2 linked regions of the Lepisosteus oculatus genome follow. The protein of the gene in region 1 interacts with the protein of each later gene in a biochemical or structural test. Links are inferred from orthologs where the notes say so. Each region holds a gene or a part of one and is shown on either strand. Other genes may lie near its edges.

The links. The genes of interacting proteins can lie anywhere in the genome.
Region 2: the proteins of smurf1 (region 1) and plekho1b form a complex in vitro, tested with the Homo sapiens proteins (4 studies listed by BioGRID and IntAct). The link is inferred for Lepisosteus oculatus from reciprocal best matches to the Homo sapiens genes SMURF1 and PLEKHO1.

Annotation. Positions count from the first base shown.
Region 1 is NC_090714.1:10,265,484-10,276,110, reverse strand, and holds the start of smurf1 (E3 ubiquitin-protein ligase SMURF1), read right to left. Parts: upstream 4,022-10,627; 5' UTR 3,797-4,021; coding exon 3,742-3,796; intron 1-3,741. Other genes in the region: kpna7 (importin subunit alpha-8), read right to left, coding at 9,061-9,150, 9,927-10,073. UniProt on the Homo sapiens protein: E3 ubiquitin-protein ligase that acts as a negative regulator of BMP signaling pathway. Mediates ubiquitination and degradation of SMAD1 and SMAD5, 2 receptor-regulated SMADs specific for the BMP pathway.
Region 2 is NC_090722.1:3,807,946-3,818,227, forward strand, and holds the start of plekho1b (pleckstrin homology domain-containing family O member 1b), read right to left. Parts: upstream 4,298-10,282; 5' UTR 3,738-4,297; coding exon 3,711-3,737; intron 2,792-3,710; coding exon 2,645-2,791; intron 1-2,644. UniProt on the Homo sapiens protein: Plays a role in the regulation of the actin cytoskeleton through its interactions with actin capping protein (CP).

The sequences.
Region 1 (10,627 bases):
TGCCTTCGAATTTTATGTTATGCAGATGTATATAATTAAAAAGCACAACAATAAAGTTGGACTATATGAAGCAAATTCATGCTTGGATATTTGCATTCCCCCCAAAATAACTCCTTAACAGTGATGAACAAAAGCTGTCCGCAGAATGTTAATCTTAAAAATGACTAGGCTACAAAAAAATTCAATGTACGGTAAATGTTCAGTTCAGAATCTAGGGGTTTAACAAGGGGTATTGTAACATTTAGTCTAACAGACTAAACCGACCCTCCTGGGCAACATTTCCCAGAACAAGGTCTGGACTGATGAGGCAAAATAACTGGGAGACTAAACACTGCAGCAGCCAGTGTAATGGCTTCATGCTCATTGTTACATGACACTCCAGACATTCCACAGCCAATTAGAATTCCTTTCATCTGCTCGGGGGGGTTGAACACAGCTGGAACTGATGGATTAGTCTAGATCCCTACAACACTTATGAAGTGTGATGTTTGCATTGCTAGGAACAGGAATTCTGCATATTTCAACACAATAAAATAGCATTGCTCAAAACAGCCACAGAACATCTATGTGTTAAGAATCACTAAGAATTTATTTCAGAAGAAAAAAATATTTCAAGAGTGGCCTAACTAAAGTAAAGCAGAAGAATAATCGATAATGCATGCAAAGCATTGAGATCTTACAGTTCTTCCATGCGTTAAAACTTAAAATACATTTAATAGATGTTAATTATTGTACATTTCACATGTTACAACTGCCTTGAGATCTTACCAAAGAGTCATAGCCAAGTCACCTAATCTTGCCTCACCACATTCAAACCCTGGCTCTTATACTCTAGCTTTTAAATGCTGTTGAATGTACCTTTTTAATACACTCTGTTGATTGTTGTTTTGGTTGCTATTGCACATTACATCAAGACAGTTGAGAGTTGCAACATGAAGATTATTAAATCCTGTAAAATCAAAGAACCAAAAATTAATTAAAACTGGCACACAAGGTCCATACCATTAACACACTTCTGAAATAAAAACCGCTCTATTAAAAAGCCGAGATTACTTTTATTCAGTAATTTTCATTAAAGCGTTTAATTTCCATTTTCAAATCGTCGTGAAGACTGAAGAATGGAAATGGCTGTAACTGTAAATAGTGTGGATCTTTCCAGCCCTTGCAATTTCACAATCTGCCTCCCATTGACCGGCACACATTGTGCTCCTCAAAAACAACAACAAAATCACAGCCATTTCAGGAACTATTCACCCATGAACTCTTGTAAGGTCAGCTGAAGAAACAAGAGCCACGGTCTGATGAGGGAACAATATTTCTATCAAACAGCTTGGGCACTTAATACTTAACCAATTACTTATTACTAAACTCAAATGACATTATTGCAAGATTTAAAAACAAATAAACATCCCCATGAAAGGTTGCCCCTGTGTAACACTGGTAAACTATGACAAAGAATCATTTAATCTAATTTTAGATTGTAAAATCAAAATGTAACTGTAGCTAGACATAAAAGCCTCTTCCTATTAGACTAAGTCAAAGATACTTAAAACAAATTAAATAACACTATCTTCTCTCCATACAGGGGTATGGGAACAATGGAATTCAGAATTTATTCGAAGTTGTCACTCTCCAAAGGTGTTTTTGTCTCCACTTCGGCAATTAAAAAATCAATTTACAGACGGCGCTTTTTACAGCTCTTTACACAAATAGCTTCAGTAACGTACTAACGACTAGAAACTTGAATGCTCTGCTGAAAGTTTGATTGAGGTTATAGTAGAAGCTGCAGTACAACATAATCCAGAAACAACCCATGTCTTTCATAGGTACTGTGTGACTGAAAGCTCTAGGCCTATACAGCAACCAATGGTCTTCTGTGTAAATGAATAATGTATAATGATGAATGGTGAATGTGAATGGTGAAATACACACACTTCTTAACTTGGATATCTTTGATCGAGTACAGCATTTTTGTTTTTCATCTTTCATATGACAAAGTAATGGTGACATTAGGAGGCTACAATACAGCCTATACTTTGCTTCGAGAAACAACTTCATGATTCTTACTGTAAAGCCAGTTTACTGCATCATTGTCAATCACAAACCGGCCATCAAAACAATTCAAGCTAAAGTACAAGATGGGCTGACAGTTCTATATTTGTGACCAAAAGATAAAATGACGACAAACAAAATGAATGCTCCATCAGCCCCAATACCCGTGAACTTTTAAGTTATCAGCTGGACAGTTACATTCTCCACCCCTGTCGCTGGATCTAGACAGAAAACAAAGAGTCAACCCGACAAGCAAAGCTAAACCATAAAACGCTTTGGGTTTTACGATTAACATTTTTTTGCCCCTAATACGCCCCAGTTTGCAGGCCAAGTCTGTCCGGGTTAAGAGTGCACTACATGAACCTATGGGATTTTTCATGCCTCACATTAACACTCCACGCAGACCGTAACAAAATTCTAACGCACTTTGTCAGATTCTAAAAGACAAACAATTAAAATAATAATGAGAATCTGAATCTCGGGTTCATGGCCGCAAGCTTCGCAGTTTGCATAGCAATGGTAGCAACTACCCACGTAGAGGAAAACGGCAGTGTAGTCTGTAAGAGTCTTTCACATGTACTGTAGCTGAAGGGCCCATAAAACAGCGATTAAACCCCATTCAGATTCCAGTACTAGTAGACAGTGCTGACACCCTCCGGACCCACAGGAACAGAAGACTGGTGCATTGACCATAGCTTCTCTACAGCACCTCAGCCCTAGTAATCCGTTCGGGGAAAAATGCGCCGACAATCGGGAATATATCTAATTTGGAGAACAATAAGACCGATTTACTTGGCCACAGATTTCTGTTAAGTGGAACTGAATGGGCATGGTCTCTGTTTTAGTCAGGCTGCAAAGCTGACAGGCCTAGATCATACACATGTATGTACAGTGCAGACACACACTTCACACAAAAGCAGGCTGCCAGGTCTGAGCGTCAGCTTGTTGCCTCCGTCTCGGCAGTTCCGAGTTTGAACTAGTCCTGCAAATCATTCACCGCTCTGCACAGCAGGGCTGATCCGGTTCCGATCCCGGCTCTGCCAGAGCAGCTTCCTCCCCGGAGCGAAATCAGTCAAGCACTTCGAAAATTAAAAGGACAGACGGGTTAGCAGGCGCTCTAATCAGGCAGGAAGGAAGCGACATCACCGCCCGAGTGCGCCTGTGCACAGTGTGTCCCTTCCATTTATTTACAGACAGCAGAATACATTGCAAAGGCAAATGACAGCATTAAAGCGGAAACGATCATAAATGCAAGGTGTTCACGATATGCAACTGATGCTGATGTCCAGCAAAAATGCATAAAAGTTACAAAAAAAAGGTTTGTAAGAGGCCGATGTAAATGTGATCCTGGGCCGTGTGCACCTACATCCCGTGCACAGATCGTTTGTTTGCAAGTCCTTATTGTACAAATGAATTCTGCCAAATCGCAGGAAACAAAAAAGTGGGCCAACCTCGTCAACAGCAGATCCCAGCAAGCCTGGTTCATCGCCAATGGTAGAGAAATTACCAGGTCTACGGCTATTTCACCTCGGTTGGTGCAGCAAGGGGTCTGCCCACAAAAGGCTTCCAATGAAAAACACCCGGCTTCTTCACCCACAACTAGGGTGTATGGCATTAAAAGTGGAGGTGCCGGACTTAAAAGACAAAACTGCAACACAAACCCCTAACAACAATGGTGTTTTTGCTTACCTGTCAGTCGGATTTTGATGCTAGACCCGTTCCTCCGAGTCCCAGGATTCGACATCACTCCGGAAAAGAAATAGCTAACTTTCCCTTAGGTCTGACCTAAGATTAAAACTTCACCACGAAGCTAGACTGTCGGGAAAAACAAAATACACCAAAACGGTGTTTCTAGAATGGCTTATCAAGGGTATATTTTTATTATTTCCTTCTCGGAAAATCCCCCAAAGCTCCCAGCTCGCATAACGCTCCTAAACATTTTCGAGCTCAAAGGCGTTCTGACGTCAGCGCAGCACGGCGGGACGTGCACGCACACGACTGTGGCGTCGAGGTGTCAGAGCGGTCCCGACTGCTCGGGACAGGGGGAGGCAGGGGCTGGATGACAAAGGAAAAGCGAGGAAAGGGGTCGTGTCCGTCTACTTCTTAAGAGAGAGGCGGCGCCCCCCAAGCTTGGTGTGTTTGCATTGTAAAAATCTCAATGTCAATGCCATGCCTAACAGTAAGTAGGCGTACTCACACGAACGCAACTACCTTTGTGCAGAAATGGGATGTGTGCCTCAATACGTTTAAATTGGCGTTTTACAACATTTCGGAGTATATGGAAAATGCATAGCTACATGTGTGGATTATGGGGGAAATTAATTTCCTAACTTTGGTTAACACGCCAGAATCCATTTCAAAGGGCGATAAGTAGATTTCCAAAACGTCTCATGTTTTTAGTTAGTACAAGAATACGTCTTGTGCTGTACAAAATGGAAACGTCCCATACACAATGACATCCGAAATATTTGTGTTACATGAATTATAGTCGTTTTAACGTGTTGTAAATTAAGTGTGTTCTGTATGACATCCTGGATCGACTTTCTCTTAATGTGATACCACTCTTGATGACTGCTTGGATTATTTTAATAGTCTTAGTTTTGATGTTTAAAATACTAAATACCCTAATATGCTTTTGTTTAAATATATATATATATTAAGAATTATTGAATTTAATATACTGAAATTCGCTACAGTCCAAAAAATGTTACGCACCCGTTATAATTGAGTAATGCAAATATTTCTTTAAGAAGTATTTAACGTCCTTAACCTGCCCGTCAGTACACTCATAAACATCTTTACCAAATACTATTGACTCAGCTGTTGTGAAAATTCGACGCCCTTAAGGATTTACAAATTGTATGCAGCAGGACAGCCGTATTTAATGTCAAGATGATGATACATTAATTTATTTCGGGGATCAGCTTCATAGCGTTTTTCAATTAAACTTATTTAACTACATAAAGTACATATAGAGGTCAATTTAAATAGCTTTATTTAATATAGATTTGCATCTTAATATTCACAAAGAGTAAACCAGCTCTTAAAGAATAATGTGATTTAGGAAATAATAGTTTACTGAAAACCATGTTTCATCCACATCAAAATGTACTTAGTGTAGTATAAGATTCTCAAGTACAAGATTTTTTTTAAAAAAGTTTGACATCTGCATTTGTTATATAATTGTATTGAATCCACAAACAAGTGAACCCCTGTATGTAATGAAAAAGTCTTAAAACATAAAAAGACATTCATATCCTCATTTGTAAAAGTATAATATTCCACACCATATTGGCAAACAAAATTTTGAGTGGGGATTTCTTTTAAATATTTTTTTAAAAATATCCAAGTTTCTTTCTCAAGTCAAATAAAATCACTTGCACCCACCTTCCAGCTAATTGATACCAGACACAAAGCAGGTTCTCATCAGGCTAAAACATTCTTTACAAGCTGTTGGGAAAGGGCATGTGAGTGCACCTACAGTAAAGAAACTTTTTAAATAACTGTGACTCATTTCCTGTCCAAAAACAGAATTATAATGGCGCATAACTTTGGTATCCGGCCTGCAGAAAGTCTGGTCATATGCTGATGTACAGTAGTTCTTTCAGTGAGTTTTTGATTTTGTGAAAGCACGCACCCAGTTTAATTTGGGCAATACACAAGACGACTACAGTTCCTGCCTGGTGGGACTGCTCCAGGCCCAGCGATCTGCAACAGTGTGCAAGACCATGGCAACTTGTAGAATCCCCATTACATGCTAATTGTTGCTGGCTGGTAGCCTGTTTCAGTGTAGCTCTATGGGATGCGTCTTGCAGTAGCTTTCATGGAAGAATCTTATGTAAAGTTCGGCTGCAAAAATGAGTTAAGTGACTGCTCCCCTATCAATTTAAAGGTGTTCTCCTAATTATATTGATAATTTTGTGGTATAACCACCTACATAATCTAAACACTGCAACTTATTTTTTTCCAGTCAAGCTCATCTATTGGTTAAACCAAAATAATGTGAACATCAAGGTTTTTCTGCTACTCGTCACTTCAATTTATGGAATTATTTTAGTAAACTAAATTAAATGCCTGATCTCAATCACTTGTCAGTCTTGATGAGTTATTTCACTTCCATGACTCATAACATGATTAAATGAGAAATGAGAATCTCCTCCATGAAGCACCTGCTCAAAAGGAATTTCGTAAAAAGAATTCTAAACAATAGTAAATCATTCCCTTATTCTCGCCTTAAGCTACACCATAAAACTTAAGAGTCTTGCTGGCAAGACATGAATCCTAAACACCATGCCATTGCAGATAGTTACTACATTCATAAAGCCACAGAGGAACAAAATGGCGTCTTTGACCTACATAATTAAAATGTAAAAATGTGCAACTAAAGAGTTAAGGGCATTTTATTTATCAACAGGTTGAGCTTCATTGTGGATTGCAAAGAATTAGCTATCAATGAAACAAAGGCTTCCTCTGACAAAATGTACAGGGAAACAATCCCCACAAGACAAACAAGGATTCTGACTGCCATACTGCCTGTGGTTCAAACACCGGTCAAGGTTTTAAACATTACTGCATTCTTTAGGAATCGTGAGAACCACATTCCACAAAATTAACCATATTTGAAAAATATTTAATTGGAAGAACTATACAAGCACATAGATCAGAATGAAAAAACACACATCCTCAGTATTTACAAATGAGTTGCAAAGAATAGATTGTATACATTTAGGTCACATGGAAAATGAAAAACAAAAATGCACATCTTTCTGATATCCAATTGCAAAATGCTCCCAAGTACTATATTTGCAAGGCTACAAACGCAATTGGAAAAGAGTAATCAAGCATACTCTATACTTAAACACATGGTTTCTGCATTTTACAAATTTGCATAGCTGGCCATAGATGTCTACTTGTTTATTTACAAATCCAGGCCAGAGCAGAAGCAAACCTACACACTCTAACCATATGTTCACTGAGCAAGATAACTTACTCGCAACACAGTCATTCAATTCAACATGTATTCAACTGTATCTGTCAAAAACATACATATAGAAGATACATGAAATATATAACAGGAATATGATTTTGCAGAACCAATACAATTTTAAAACTCATTGAAACCAGTGAGCATTTAGCAGTACATGTTCTAGATCAAGTAGTTTCCATTGCATAAACATCTGAGCTAATACAAAAAAAAACAGCATAAATTAGTCTCAAGTTAATGACACAGATGGATATATAGGAGCATTCCAAAGTAATACAATGGACTGGAAATAGGTTAAACAGAAAAAATGTAAAGAGATTGGATTACCCAACAATCAATCCAAGTCATATATATAGTATGCTGTATTGTATACAGTAGGAGGACCAAGGAGGTTTGAGGAAGAGATCCATATGTGGCACTATTGCCAAAGACATGCAGGCTGTCAGCACACATTATAGAATTGTATATAGGGGAAATATTTTTAATTGTATGACCCATTGTTAATCAGATATTGCATGAATGTAGAGTTTTAATCAATGCAAGTGCTTTAAAACACTGGGGATGTTTACCTTATTTCAAACTAACATTTCTCCCTTATTGTTCTAGTAATTACATTTACATAACCATAATTTGGAATTACCATGTGACCCATTTTACAGCTTCACAGTAAAGCCCCAATTGCATTACCATGTTAGACAAATTAGTACCGATTGGACAAGCACCTTTCAGTGAGGTAACCATTATCTTGAAGGTCCGTGTAGTCCCTTTGGCAGAAAGTCCAGAGCACCCTCACCATCTAATCCCAGCCCTCCCCCTTTAATATCCTGTCTGATTTGCTCTAGTGGTTCTGTTTGTTCAGAGGATTTGGATGAGATACAGAGTTTTTCCCCCAACCAGTATATTTGGAGCAGAGAAGCCAGACTGTGTTCCAAGATTACACCTTTGTAACTTGAGTCACTCTGGAGTTCCTCAAATCAAAATCGGAGTGTGAATAGATCCTGAAGAGAGTCAGGTGAAAATTCAGTTGCTACCTTTAAATTCTTAGGTGTCATCTATGCTTATTCCTTCAGGTATCCACATGGAAGGAAAATGGGCTTCTCTTAAAACAGAATTCAGATCAGGCGACATGGAAGTAATCCCACACATCAGGAATGGTAAAACACTTCCTGCAGTACCACATGTGAAGGTGAGGCTACTCAAAGTCTTACTGGGAATTTGAAAGCTTTCTCAGGTCTGCATTTTAATAGGTAGCCAGGATAGTCTTTCCATTGAGCAAGATGAACATTCCAGTTTGCCGAAGTGGAAGCTATCATACAACCTCTAAATGCAACTATTTAACCAGAATTCTCACTTCCAGAAATTTCTCAAGCATATCATAGTCTTCTTTTTAAGACAACTTGCATTATGAGGGATTTAAATAGCTTCACATATTTCACCTGATTTCTATCATGCAGAAATGTTAGTATTCTGAAAACCAGATCCCAGAGGATACAAATGCAATACTTTGCATTTCTTTTCCACATCGATAAAAGGATGTGGAATTTGGGTTACTAGTTAACTCCATGCCTATGTAACTCAGAAAATCACTTTTTGGGAATTCAACAGGATGGTTACACTTAAACTTTAATACCTTACTAATTTATGCATTAAGACATTTAGCCATGTTACCATTTAACAGAGCTTAGTGTTTAATAGCAAAGTCTTGCCAAGGTCTACAAGTTAAAAGACCTACAGTCAGTCATCCATTTTACTGAAAAACCACAACATGGAAGAAGCATGCCCACTATGCGAGCCATGATGGATACTAGGTTTTCATGTGGACAAGAAGATAGGATTTAGAAACACTTGATACTGTTAAACATGCATTTCAAAAATATTTTATTATCCATTTACTTAGAATGCAATAATTCACACAATACAAAGATATGGAGAGTAAAAAAGAAAAAAAAAACTTGTTCTACACCTTTTTTTCACCCCCAATGCCATTTAAGAGGAAAAGGGCTTAAGGTTCTGAAGGGTGAAGTTCAGAAATTAAATTTTTTATCCACCTCCTGTGGCTGGAAAATGTAACTGCTTTTGGTGGCTTCCGTTTTCAGGCATTCCACATCCGACTCCTAGGTTTAAGATTTTCACAAGATGAGAAATGGGTCACGGCAGAAGGAAAGGTTTAGTCTACAGGTCAACATTTCACAATGTTCTATACAGCCCTCTAGTGTTACCCAATTATAATCATCCTTGCATGACTGGTAGAGATGAATAACACCCATAATTTAGAACCCACTAAGTTTTTAGCCCTATACAATTTTTGTATATGTAGTCTTTTAGGTTTTGACATTTTCCATTTCTAAGATTAGTCTCAGACAGTTTTCATTAATCTGATCATGTAAACAATCCTTTAAATAGTGTAAATCACCCAAATGTGCTGATTCAATGCAGTAATCCATGTATGGATTATAACTACATTCCAAGTAGACAAAAGGACTAAGCATGTCTGGGGTTAGGACTTGCCTCTCTCCAGAGCAAACCACACACGCTCATTAAGAAGGCAGGTGTTACGTACAGTTGGATCCTTCTGCAGACTTTGAAGAATATAAAGCTGGCTTTTGGGGTTCAAAATAATCCTGTTAGGAGCATCTTTAATAGCTGCTACATTGGAACAAAGGTTTTGATATTTCAGGCAAAATTCTACTTACATTTCCTTGCAAAGTAAGGAAAATCAAAAGGTATATTATGAAGAGTATCAGTTAGGGTCTCTTGCTCCCTCCCCAAGGACAAAGTAATTATCTTCCCCTTTTCAATATGCTGCACCTCCAATAAAAAAGCCATACATATACACAAAATGAAATTATGGGCAATGCAGGAAGGTACAGTAGCTTTTGATCAGGCTTACCTCATTAAAGTACTTCTCTATCAGTGCCTGTGCTGCTCGATACACAGAATCATTCTCGTGGTTCTGCAGCAGCTCTATTCTGTCAAGCCCTCCCAGTTCCTCCACCAGCAGGCACAGCTTCTCGGTTTCCCCCAGCTTCTCCGAGGCCTGCAATGGAGCAGTTCCAAAAGTAGCAAGACTGCAGTCTCACATCAGAAAAAAAACCCCCAAAAAATCCTGCTTTTAAAAGTTAAGCAGGGCAGTATTTTCCCCAATCATCCATCACCAAAAGCTTTCACTTCCTGATTATACCATGTATAAATCTATTAAGCATCACTTAACTGACATAAGGTGTCAATTCTTAAAATCACCCAAAAGATCAAGCGGCTTTCTCCAAGCAATGAGACTGCATCTATGCCCTATTGCAGTGGTTCTCAAACTTTTTGGACAAAGTACTACCCCTAATCCAACCAAAGCATCCAAGTACCACCTACAAGTCATCACCTCAGAACCCCAGAAATTCTCAATGACCAACATGAGCGTGCGTGCACACACACACACATATATTTATTATAATAAAATTTATTTGATATAGCGCCTTTAAAGGTGGCTTCTCAAAGTGTTTTACAGAAAAAAAAACAACTAATAAAAAAAGCACCATTTCAGTGAGAGAGGTGAGCAAAGCAGATGTGAATTAATTTTTCGAGCCTTGATACAATTCA
Region 2 (10,282 bases), on another chromosome or scaffold:
AGACTAATTAACATGACTCCAAGATCATTACAAAAATAAATCAGTAATGGAAAACTAATTACCAGGAAGTCGCACTGGCCTGCAATTCTCAGGCATCCAGCAGATCTACCACAAACGAAAAGTGGGCAGGTTCACATTCACTCCGATTTCTCCCCCAAAAAGAAGCTCGTTTGTATTGATCGGGGTTTGATAAAAACCACAGGCAGTGAACAGTTGAAGGAAAGGTGGAATATCGGGTCATTGAGCCCGTTTCAATTGTTCAGTCTGGACAGGCTCCACACGAGCCCCTTATGAGCAACAGGCTTTATCAGCTCGAAAACACGACGGAGAGACAGGAAGAAGGGCCGGGTTTTGCTCTGAAGAGCTCCACCTCGCTGAGGCACAGACCCCACCCAAAAAAGCAGCTGTGTCTGGTAGCGGTCTGAAAGGGGGGTGTTTAGAGCTAGCCTCTACAGAGACGTTTCCTCACCACTAAATCGCGAACTTGACTTCCTCGAGCAGTGGAACTGCCCCAGCGTGGCCGACACGCCGCCAGGAGACACAGGCCTCAGACGACCGGCCTCAGCAGCGCGTCCTGTTCTCTCACTGCGGCCCCAGACACTGAAGAGGCCAGGAACTCCTCAGAATCAAATCGAGTGTCTTCACCTGTGTGCAGGGCCTCTTTAGTTTAGGGGGCCGCTTAATTCTTGTTTGATGGTTTTGCTGAGTGGCACAGTGGCGCAGTGGTTAGCATTGCTGGCCCTGGGCTCAATGTCTGGAGTACTGTCTGTATGGAGTTTGCATGTTCTCCAGGTGCCGCGGTTTTCACCTACAGTCCTAAAACATCCTGGTAGATGAATCGGCTTCGGGGAGGACTGGCCCTCGCGTGAGCGTGTCTGTGTGTTTGTGTCCGTGTCTGCCCTGAGATAGACTGGCGTCCCGTCCGGGGTGTAGCCTGCCTTCCGCCCATTGCATGCTGGGATAGGCTCTAACTACCCTGTGATCCTGAATCGGATAAAGTGTTTAGAAAATGGATGGATGTCTGATGTTTTGCCCAAAAGTACACATAACGCGAAAGAAAGGGCAACAGACAAGCAGGGCAGCACTGCAAAAAGACCATCCTACTGCTTGTGAGCATGACTCATGCCTACAAAAGGAAGCCAAAATGCAGCCTTTGAAAGACTGTGGTGCTAAACTGAGCAACGGTGTTCACTGAAACTGAAGGGCAGAGTGGCCTGACACGTGAACTCCGCGCCAGCCCTAATCGTGAGCCTTGGCTGGCCTGCTGACAGTGCTGAGGAGCAGTTACAGCAAATTAAAATTCAACGAATTCAAGAAACGAGGAGCTGGTTCTTTGCACAGGCAGGCTGGAGTTAGCTCGGGGGGGTGGGGGGGCAGCAGAGTCCGTTTCCCCCAGAGGAATCCAGGGCTAGCTACGGAGATGACGCCCAGCCCTCTCCTCCTGCAGCTCCGGCACACAGGGGAACATGAAAACCCACCCAGGGTTAGTGCATGGTTGGCCCGTGCTGGGCGAGTGGGGGCACGCTTGGGTTTGGCTGATGGACATCATAAGCCCTCAGTATTGCTGACAATTTACTGACTCGAGCTCTGATCGCCAGCACAGCTGAAAATAAAAATAACTGCTGGCACTCCCAGAGCTGAATCTGCAAGGTGCAATTCTCCCAAAAGCCCGCCTCCACCTTTTCTGCGTTCCTGGATCACCCAGGTGCCCGTTCTGCCGTGGAATCACTAAACCATCACCGCTGTCACACGGGTCTCCCACACGTAACGCGGATCAATGACTCCCTTTCCTCGGACTCGGTCTGCACCCGTCTTTCCTGAACTCCACGGGGCCCCCAAAGTGCCGAAGTGTCCGTTCTCTCCCGGGGCCCGGGCAGATGGTGTTGTGCCAAGCGCTGGGTCAGGAACTGGTCAGAACGGGGACTGCTGGGGTGCCAGGCTGCTAGTTAGCATCACAGCCGAGCTGTCGCGACTGTCTGTAGACTCTAACACAGGGGCTGCTTAGCACCTGCAGAAGTGCAATGACAAGGACGCAGCTCAAAAACTTAGAAAACTTGGGACTTCTTGGTCTTAAACGTCCGATTAGGGGGTGAAAATCCCACCAGGAACGAGCTCTGAACATCACCGTTTTTTTCCCAGACGTCTTCTGTAGTAAAGGCGCAGGAAGAGTAGGAAATTGCAATTTAGCTATAGCAGCTTTTACCATTCCGGACATGGGTTCTACGACAGAGATAGCGTCCAAACGCACTGCACTCATTTCTAACCCGTCCTGTATGCGCTGTGATGCCCTTTGGCTCGAGTTTGCCACACAGGGCTTTCCAGAATTATACAACAGTTAGACTCAACGCAAACCACCATGGTTCACTCAGAGAAAACGGATGATCGTTCTTCACAGCCTGACCTCTGAGTCACTGAAACTCATTTTAAACTAGCAAAGCATCTATATCTGAAGGAGTAATTTAAAACCGTATTGCCGCGGGCCAAATAATACACAGCCTGATGACTGGAATATGAAAAGAGCCGACTGTCTCCGAACACGCGGGTCAACAACAGTTTACAAAACGTGTTGTTGTTGTTGTTGTTTTTTAATTGCCTCTTGGACGGGTCGAAACGGGTCATGACAGGTAAAACAGACACTTTTTACCTCTTTCTCGGAGATGTAGAGCTGGTCGCCTTTCAGCACCACGTAACGGTTCCTCCAGATCTCCCGGAAGATCCCCCGGCCGCAGAACTTGCGGATCCAGCCGATTTTCTCCGGCTGCGAGGGCGGCTGGTTGGCGTCCGGAGGCCCCTGCATCGCAAAACACAATCAGCTGGCAGGCGAAGAGGCGAAGCCACGGGCGGCCGGACTGCGCCGAGACACCCGGAGAGGACTAGCCGACTCGCTGGCCAGCCCACCGCCTGAGTGACAGACAGACGGACGGACGCGGAAGTAGACCCGAGCCCCTCATTAAGATTCAAAGGAGCCCGCATGACGAAGACAAAAAGGCAGAGTTGACACGGGCATCTCAGTTCTTTTGTCATGCAGACGATGCGAGATTCCTGGCTCCGGCACCTCGCCGCCTCTGATTAAAACCGTGCCCGTGACCTGGAGCGGGGAATGCCACTCGCACTTCTCACGAGTGCGGGATTAGACCCACGGGAAAGAGGGGGCTACGGTGTTTCCGGGGCTCTCAGACACAGCAAACCCCCCCCCATTAACGCGTCCACACCCCCCTCTCCCCCCCCCAGTGTCTCCCTTCAGCGCACAGCGAGAGGAGCACCCCCCAGCCCAGCCTATCCCGCTCGGAAACTACAGGCAGCGGAACATCACTTCAGCGCTGTGGACCAAGTCGGTTTAATAAACGCGAAATGCCGGGGCACACTGGGCACGTCCCCGCAAGCTGAAACCCAAGGCGGCATCTCCAGTCAGATGCCCGCCGACACGCAGATCAGTTCAGACACAGACAATGTGTCACGATAATAGCCCGTATCAAGTAGCACACGCTCGGACTCCTCCAGGATCCTTCCTCGCCGCGTCCACAGAATTCGCTGACATCACCATTTCGTCCGTCCGTCCCAAACACACACACACACGCACATTTTGCAGGATTTGTCCCCCAACACCGCCTCACTCACACACACACACACTCGGAAAACGGGGGTCATAGCGTCGGAGGGGATGGGGATGAAAGAGAAACGGGGCACGGCAGTGTGGAGGAGAAGCTCACCCGCTTCGCCGAAGCGCTCTTCTTCATTTCTGGAGGTCTGTGCGTCTCTGGCGGCGGTGCCTCCGGAGTTTCCACCCCGCGGACTCGGGGTGTTATTTGTAAGCGGCGATTCCTCTGATGGAGAGAGAAGGGGAAGGGGGGTGTTCTCTCACAGGAGCAGAAACTGTGTTATGGGGGTTCTCCCCCCCCACCACCACCACCACCACTCCTCCCCGATCTCGCTCGTCGCTCTCCCCCTCGCCTGGAGCTACAGCCTCCGGTTGCCTCCCCAGTCCTCCGCCTCTCTCCTCTCGCCGCCGCCGCGCCGCCGCGCTCTCCGAGTCTCGCCCCGGGGGTCTCCGGTTACGCTGGCGGAGGCCGGATCATCACCACGCTCCCCGGCTTTGCCCTCTTCTCTGGGAAGCGCAGGCAGGTCATTGGGAATATCAACAAGCCGCTCGCAGCCGGGGTCTCCCGCTGCCGCGCTCCACAGCTCCATCTATAGCTCGGCGACGTCAACGCGTGATGTCACCGGCAAGGCAGAGCGCTCCGGAGGCGCAGGAGCCGAGGAAACGCGTGTGTGGTCACACACGGCTGAGGACGAAGCAGGGGGGAGAGTGTGTGTGTGTTGGACGAAGACGTCTCAGAAATCGCGTCAAGTTTCGTTTTATTTTTATCCCGCTATCTTTGCGCGCACACATATCCGAACAGCGACGATCGCGGTCGAGCTGAGCTGGAAGAGAGGGTTTGTGGTTGCTGTGTATTTTACAGCCTCTATCCTGTTTGTTAAACTTAACTGGGCGCGTTGAAGTGTTGAAATACATGCCCTGGCATGCCTGAGCTGGCACTCAACTGTCGCCCCTCCACCTCACGCAAACTCTCTTACTCTGTCCACTATGGTTCCTAATAAACCTCTCTAAACTTTGAAGACGTCACTGTGACACTGTGGTCACTAAGCACAACACTGTAGCGTAAAAACATGGTAGAGGATTGTGGTAAATTAAGATACGAACAAATCGCCCTGATAAAAGTGCCCTGAAGCACAGGAAATCAACAAAGTACCATGGAAGTGGTGGTTGATTTCCGGAGGCGCTTCCCGGACCCTCTCTCCCTGTTAATCTATGACGAGGCGGTGAGTGTGAAGGAGCCCTTTGTGATCTCGAATTCCCTTAAGTGGGAAATGAATATCGCCGATATCACGAAGAAAGCACAGCAGAGCGTGTACTTTTTTCTTGCTGCAGCTGAAAAACGGTGTTGTCTCTCCACTATTTCTGATACAGTTTCACAGAGCCATTACTGAGGGACTTCTGCCCGGCCTCTGTGACTGATTGGCGAGGTGAGGCAAACGGCGCAGGTCCCTGCCTGTGGCCTGCCCGTCTCCGCCTGTACGGGAGTCCAGAGCAGAGACAGGCAAGATTGCTGATGACCCTCCCCCACCCAGGTGACCACCTGTTTCAAAAAACCTCCGTCAGGAAGACAGTACCGGTCCGTCGAACCCAGAACCACCTCGAATCTGATCAGCCTCTTTCCTAGGGCTGTCCTTGTGTGCGTCCAGCATTCCCAGTGAAATGTCCCCTGTCTTAAAGATGTCTGTTGTCTTGAGCGTCTATGGAACATGTCGAATGTCTTTGCAGCAGCAAGCACACCAGAGGACAGAGATTTGTTGTACATGGAATGTACTGGGCAAATAAAGCTGATTTATTCACTTCACCTTGGGTATATGCTCAATCTAATCCCGCCATCCATTTTCTACCCAGATTCATCCAATTCAGGGTCACAGGGGAGCCGGAGCCTTTCCCAGCAAGCAACGGGCGCAAGGCAGGGTACTACATGGGCAGGACACCAGTCCATCACAAGGGTATCAGACGCACACACTCACACAGAGCAGAACTGACCGATAAGCCAGTTAACCCACCAGCGTGTCTTTGGCCTGTGGGAGGAAACCCATGCCAGCCCGCAGAGAACATGCAAACTCCACACAGACAGCACCCCAGGAATCGAACCACAGGACGTCAGGCGGCAGAGCCGACCGCTGTGCCCTGCCACTGCCCTCAATCAGAACCACAGCCGACATTTTCCTCTGTCTCACTTTTACCATCAGGTCTGCTCTCCTGGGGGGCATCTGCTTGGGGAGCTGCATCCAGAGGTGAGTGATGGTGGTCCCCCTTCTATATGTAAAGCCCTTTGGGATGAAAGGCGCTATACAAACACATAGGGGGAAGCTTTGCGGATTTGGTCATCACTGGGAATTGTCAAGAGAGGGGCGGACTCCATTTGGGCACAGCATTATTAATATTATTATTATCATCTTAAATTAATTATTTAACCTCCCCCCCCTTTATTAGCTCTGCTTGTTTTGGGAATTCAAGAGACTAAAAAAAACTCCAAGAGTGGGACTGAACCAGCCCTGTGCTGATCCAGGCACGGACAAACGTCCCAGAGAAGGATTGCCCAGGTGTGTTGGGGAAAAAAGGGAACAAGTCTGGGGTGCTCATTTTAATCTGGCTGGCCCCGGCCCGCGGGCATATGCGCCTCAGCCTGCGTGAAGGCTGTTTTCCGGGCTGCTGGTTCACCCTCTGTGTGGCTCAATCCAGGAAACAAACAGCGCCGCCGGGCTATTTTCAGAAACGAAAGGCGTTTCGGTGGAACACCGGTTCTATTTCTGCGCGGGGTCTGAGAGGGATAAACACAGATCATTCCACCCGCCCGCCGTGTTCGCGACAACACAGACGGTTTTGGACTTTTCCAGACAGGGAGAGGGAGAGCCCAACAAACCTTTCTCCTGTAATCGACGGGGGCAGCACTGGGCAGTAGCACCATGAGTTTCGCCAAAAGCCGGGCGTGCTTCAGCTTAGACCTGTGTTTTGTGTGAGCGCGTGTGCGTCTGTGTTTGGCGGTGGCGTAATAGGGGACACACTGAAAAGGGACACAGGCCGAGCTGCACAGTATCCTGGATCAAAAGCTATTAAAGGCCTTTGCGGTCTGGCTTGCACTCAGTGAAAATGTTTGTCCATTAAGAGAATAACACATCCTGCGTGCGTGCTCCCCTTTAGATGTTGTTGTTGTTGTTGTTGTTGTTGCACTCAGACGCGATTAGCTTGTCGGGGCGTCTGGGGGAGGGGGTTAATGGCATAATCGATATCCGAATGAGCCAGGCCCCGAGAGGAGCACAGTGCGCAGACCCCAGGCGGATTCTAATGCATCAGCCCCCTGGAAGCTAGCCTGCTGCTGAGCCCTACCTCCCCGTGGTCTGGGGGTCTTAATAAAGACAACCGTTTCGGAGCTGCTCATGCATCTCCAGTGAAACTAGAGAGGAAACGGTTATTTTCCTTCGTTGGAAAAGGTGGGAAAAGCCATCCCAGATCGGGTATTCCTCTCTCTCTCTCTCCCAAGTGCGGGAGTGCTTTCTTCAGTGCGAAGGGCAGAACGTGACTCACAGGAAGCCAAACCGTGGCTCTTTTCAGTAGGTGAAAACAACAGACCCGTGACAGGACATGTTTCTATCTTGAACGAGGCGGTCTGTCAGGTAAAAAAGATTTTCCCTTCCCTCTTCTGCACAACATGGGGAAGCAAAACAACAAAGCAACCAGAGGTCTGACTACTGGCAGAGTTAAAAGCGTGCTTAGATCAGAGGAAGTTACGCTGCATTTTGTACAATGCATTCATGAGAGCTCATTTGGTATACTGCATATCACTTTGACTATTGCATTACAAAGAAGATATGACTGCTCATGAATCAGTCCCAGGAGGAGCATATGACAGGCACAGTCTAGGTTCTAAAGGAATGTCTTACAATGACTGTTCATTAACTATTGATCTGGAATCAGGGCAGCACGATGACTACGGGGTGCTCTTTCTGTGGAGTTTGTATGTTTTCCTGATGTTCGCATGGGTTTCCTCCCACAGACCACAGACATGCTGGCAGGCTCATTGGTTTCTGGGTCCTGGTGTGACTGTGTGCGTGTGTTTGCCCTGGTGCTGGACTGGCGTCCCATCCCGGGTGTACCCTGCGGTGCACCCACTGCTTGCTGAGATTCACTCCAGCTCCCCCGCGACCCTGAACTGGAGCAGTTCAAAACATGGGTGGATAAACTCGAACCAACAGTTCACAATGGCAAAATCACTCCGATGCATTTTTTTTCACAATCATGGTGAAGCACGAGCCATAGCACACAGGTGTAAACTACGGGAGCGTGCCCTTAAGACTGAGACCAAATGGCACGTCCTTACACAAAGGGTGGTGGGAGCATGGAACGAGCCGGCCATGTCGTGCTGTTGCAGCTGATGGCATGGGATCCTTCAAGAAACAGCTGATACTGTCTGATCAATTAGATCTCGAAGGAACGAATTAGAGACATCAGCAAACCAGAACCCACAGAGAAAACCATGCCAGCACAGAAGGTACTCCAAACCACAACCAAACCCAGGAGCCAGGAGCCCTGAAACCGTAGCACTGACCTCCAGGCCCCCTGACATTGTGTTTCGCAAGCAAGATATAAAATGTGTCCACAGAGACAGCCAAAACAATTGAAAAACAGGTACAAAAACTGGAACCATCCAGATGTAGCTCTGTGCTACAGAGTAACTAAAATGAGATTAAAAAGGAAGTGAGCACATGGAAAACACAACACAGAGATGCACCACAAAACCACAAATAACAAAGAACAGGAGAAACACATTTGGCTTCACTCTTATTTCAGCGTGCTCTGTGAGTTAGGGTTTGTGTCCTGTCTAGCGTGTGAAGCATAAAGTCAGAAGCCCCGACTCTTTCTTAGACCGAAATGCTCATTTGAGACCTACAAAAAGCAAGAAACCACCTGACTGCCAGTTCACCGGCGCTCAGATGATCACTTCAGAGCCTCCTGCCCCACAAGAGCGAAGCAGAGTGAAGGCCGTTAGAGGGAAGTGAATGCTGAACTGAAAACAGGAAGCCCTCTATTACAAAAGGTTGCAGGTCACCAGGTTAGAGAAGACACGTAGCTGCTCTGGAGTCTGTCCAGACGAGCTTAACAGGAGGCAATCTGGGGTTTAAAGGAACGGCCTTCACCGATTGCTGAAAAAACACATCTTTCTTTTGAGGACCGAGGGAGTGAGGAACGAGCTGCCCAGCTATGGTGTTGAAGCCGATGCCCTGGAAACAGCTGGGTGAGATTACTGGATTAAAAGGGAGTTGACTGCCTATCAGGCTAACTGGGATAAATGGCATCTCCATGACTGTAATTCTTCTTATGTTGTTTTACACTACAGGCAGGCCCTCTGAGAGTTCAGATGAAGCCCGGGGGCCATTTCACATTGTGAGGCCCCCCTCATGGTTTGGGGAGAGGGGTACAGAAATATTTGAATGTCAAGAATGACATGTAAACACCTGGAGGAAACTGGAAAGGTCTTGGCTATTGGAATTGAATGGTGAATCTGGCCGCCTCACAAAAGCTGGCCTGATTGGTGAAACACGCTGTCACTCATTTTATTTTCAGCCATTCAGAGCCATTTAGGGGATGGGACTTCCTCTGGGAGCCTTTGGCTGCCTCCTACCTGCGTGCCAGCTGTCAATTATTCCCAAATTCGAGACACACAGCCAAAGTGATAAATTAGGGGACCACGCACCCTTGGGTGAGGTGAGGCCCCCCTGTGAGGTGAGGCCCGGGGCCAAATGGCCCTGCTGGCCCCCCATCTCGTAGGACCTGACCACAAGACACCATTATCATTCACCAGGGTGGCAATATTCCTAATCACATCCCAGACCCTGACCCTTCATACTGTACATATCATCAGGTATATCCAGCTGCATAGCAGAGGTGCCAACAGCAGCAGTAAGACTAAGCCCTGCTGCAGCTCCACAAACAGCACGAGCAGATCACGCCGAGCTGGATACGGAGCAAGAAACTCAAACAAGTTGCGAAAAGGGCAGGGCTCCAGATGCAAAGTTACGTCCTCCCTGTATTGCCCCAGATGCGAAATATGCTTTTGCAAGGAGGTGAAAAACCATCGCACACCGATACGTTTAAAACGAACAACTAAGAAACATACACCTGAAATTTGAATCGTCCTCAGACTCCAGAAATAGATGAATGAAGGAGTTGGCTCATCAGTGAGTGGGATAATAAGATACATCCGTGATGAAAATAAAATATATTTATCTATTACTTGATCCAGATGAGCAGGTTGATAACCAGTGGGAATAAAACATAACCTCTCGCATTCTAACCTAACCATCATAACCTATAGAAAGGTAAGCTATTGCACTGGATTTTGGGTAGTCAAAATCAACACCCTTTTACTGAGCAAGGGGTGGTCACAACAGTCAGTGATTATACGAGCCTTCTGTAATTATGCAATATCCCAACCCCCGCAAATTCTCCTCCCACCCCTCTGTGGTCACTCAGCTCTGACAGCAGACCACTGACCTTTCTGTCCTGTCTCCTGGCGCGTTGTGTGGGACGTCCCACGTGAATCTCCCCTTCCTTCTCTCTGCGCCCTCTTCCTTATCTGCGTTTTCTTGCCCCAGACGCTACGAAGACATTTCAGTTTCGCAATAAAAGCCCAAGACGCCTTTCCAAACCCGTGTTGTCATCACACTTCAGCACATGTTCCGT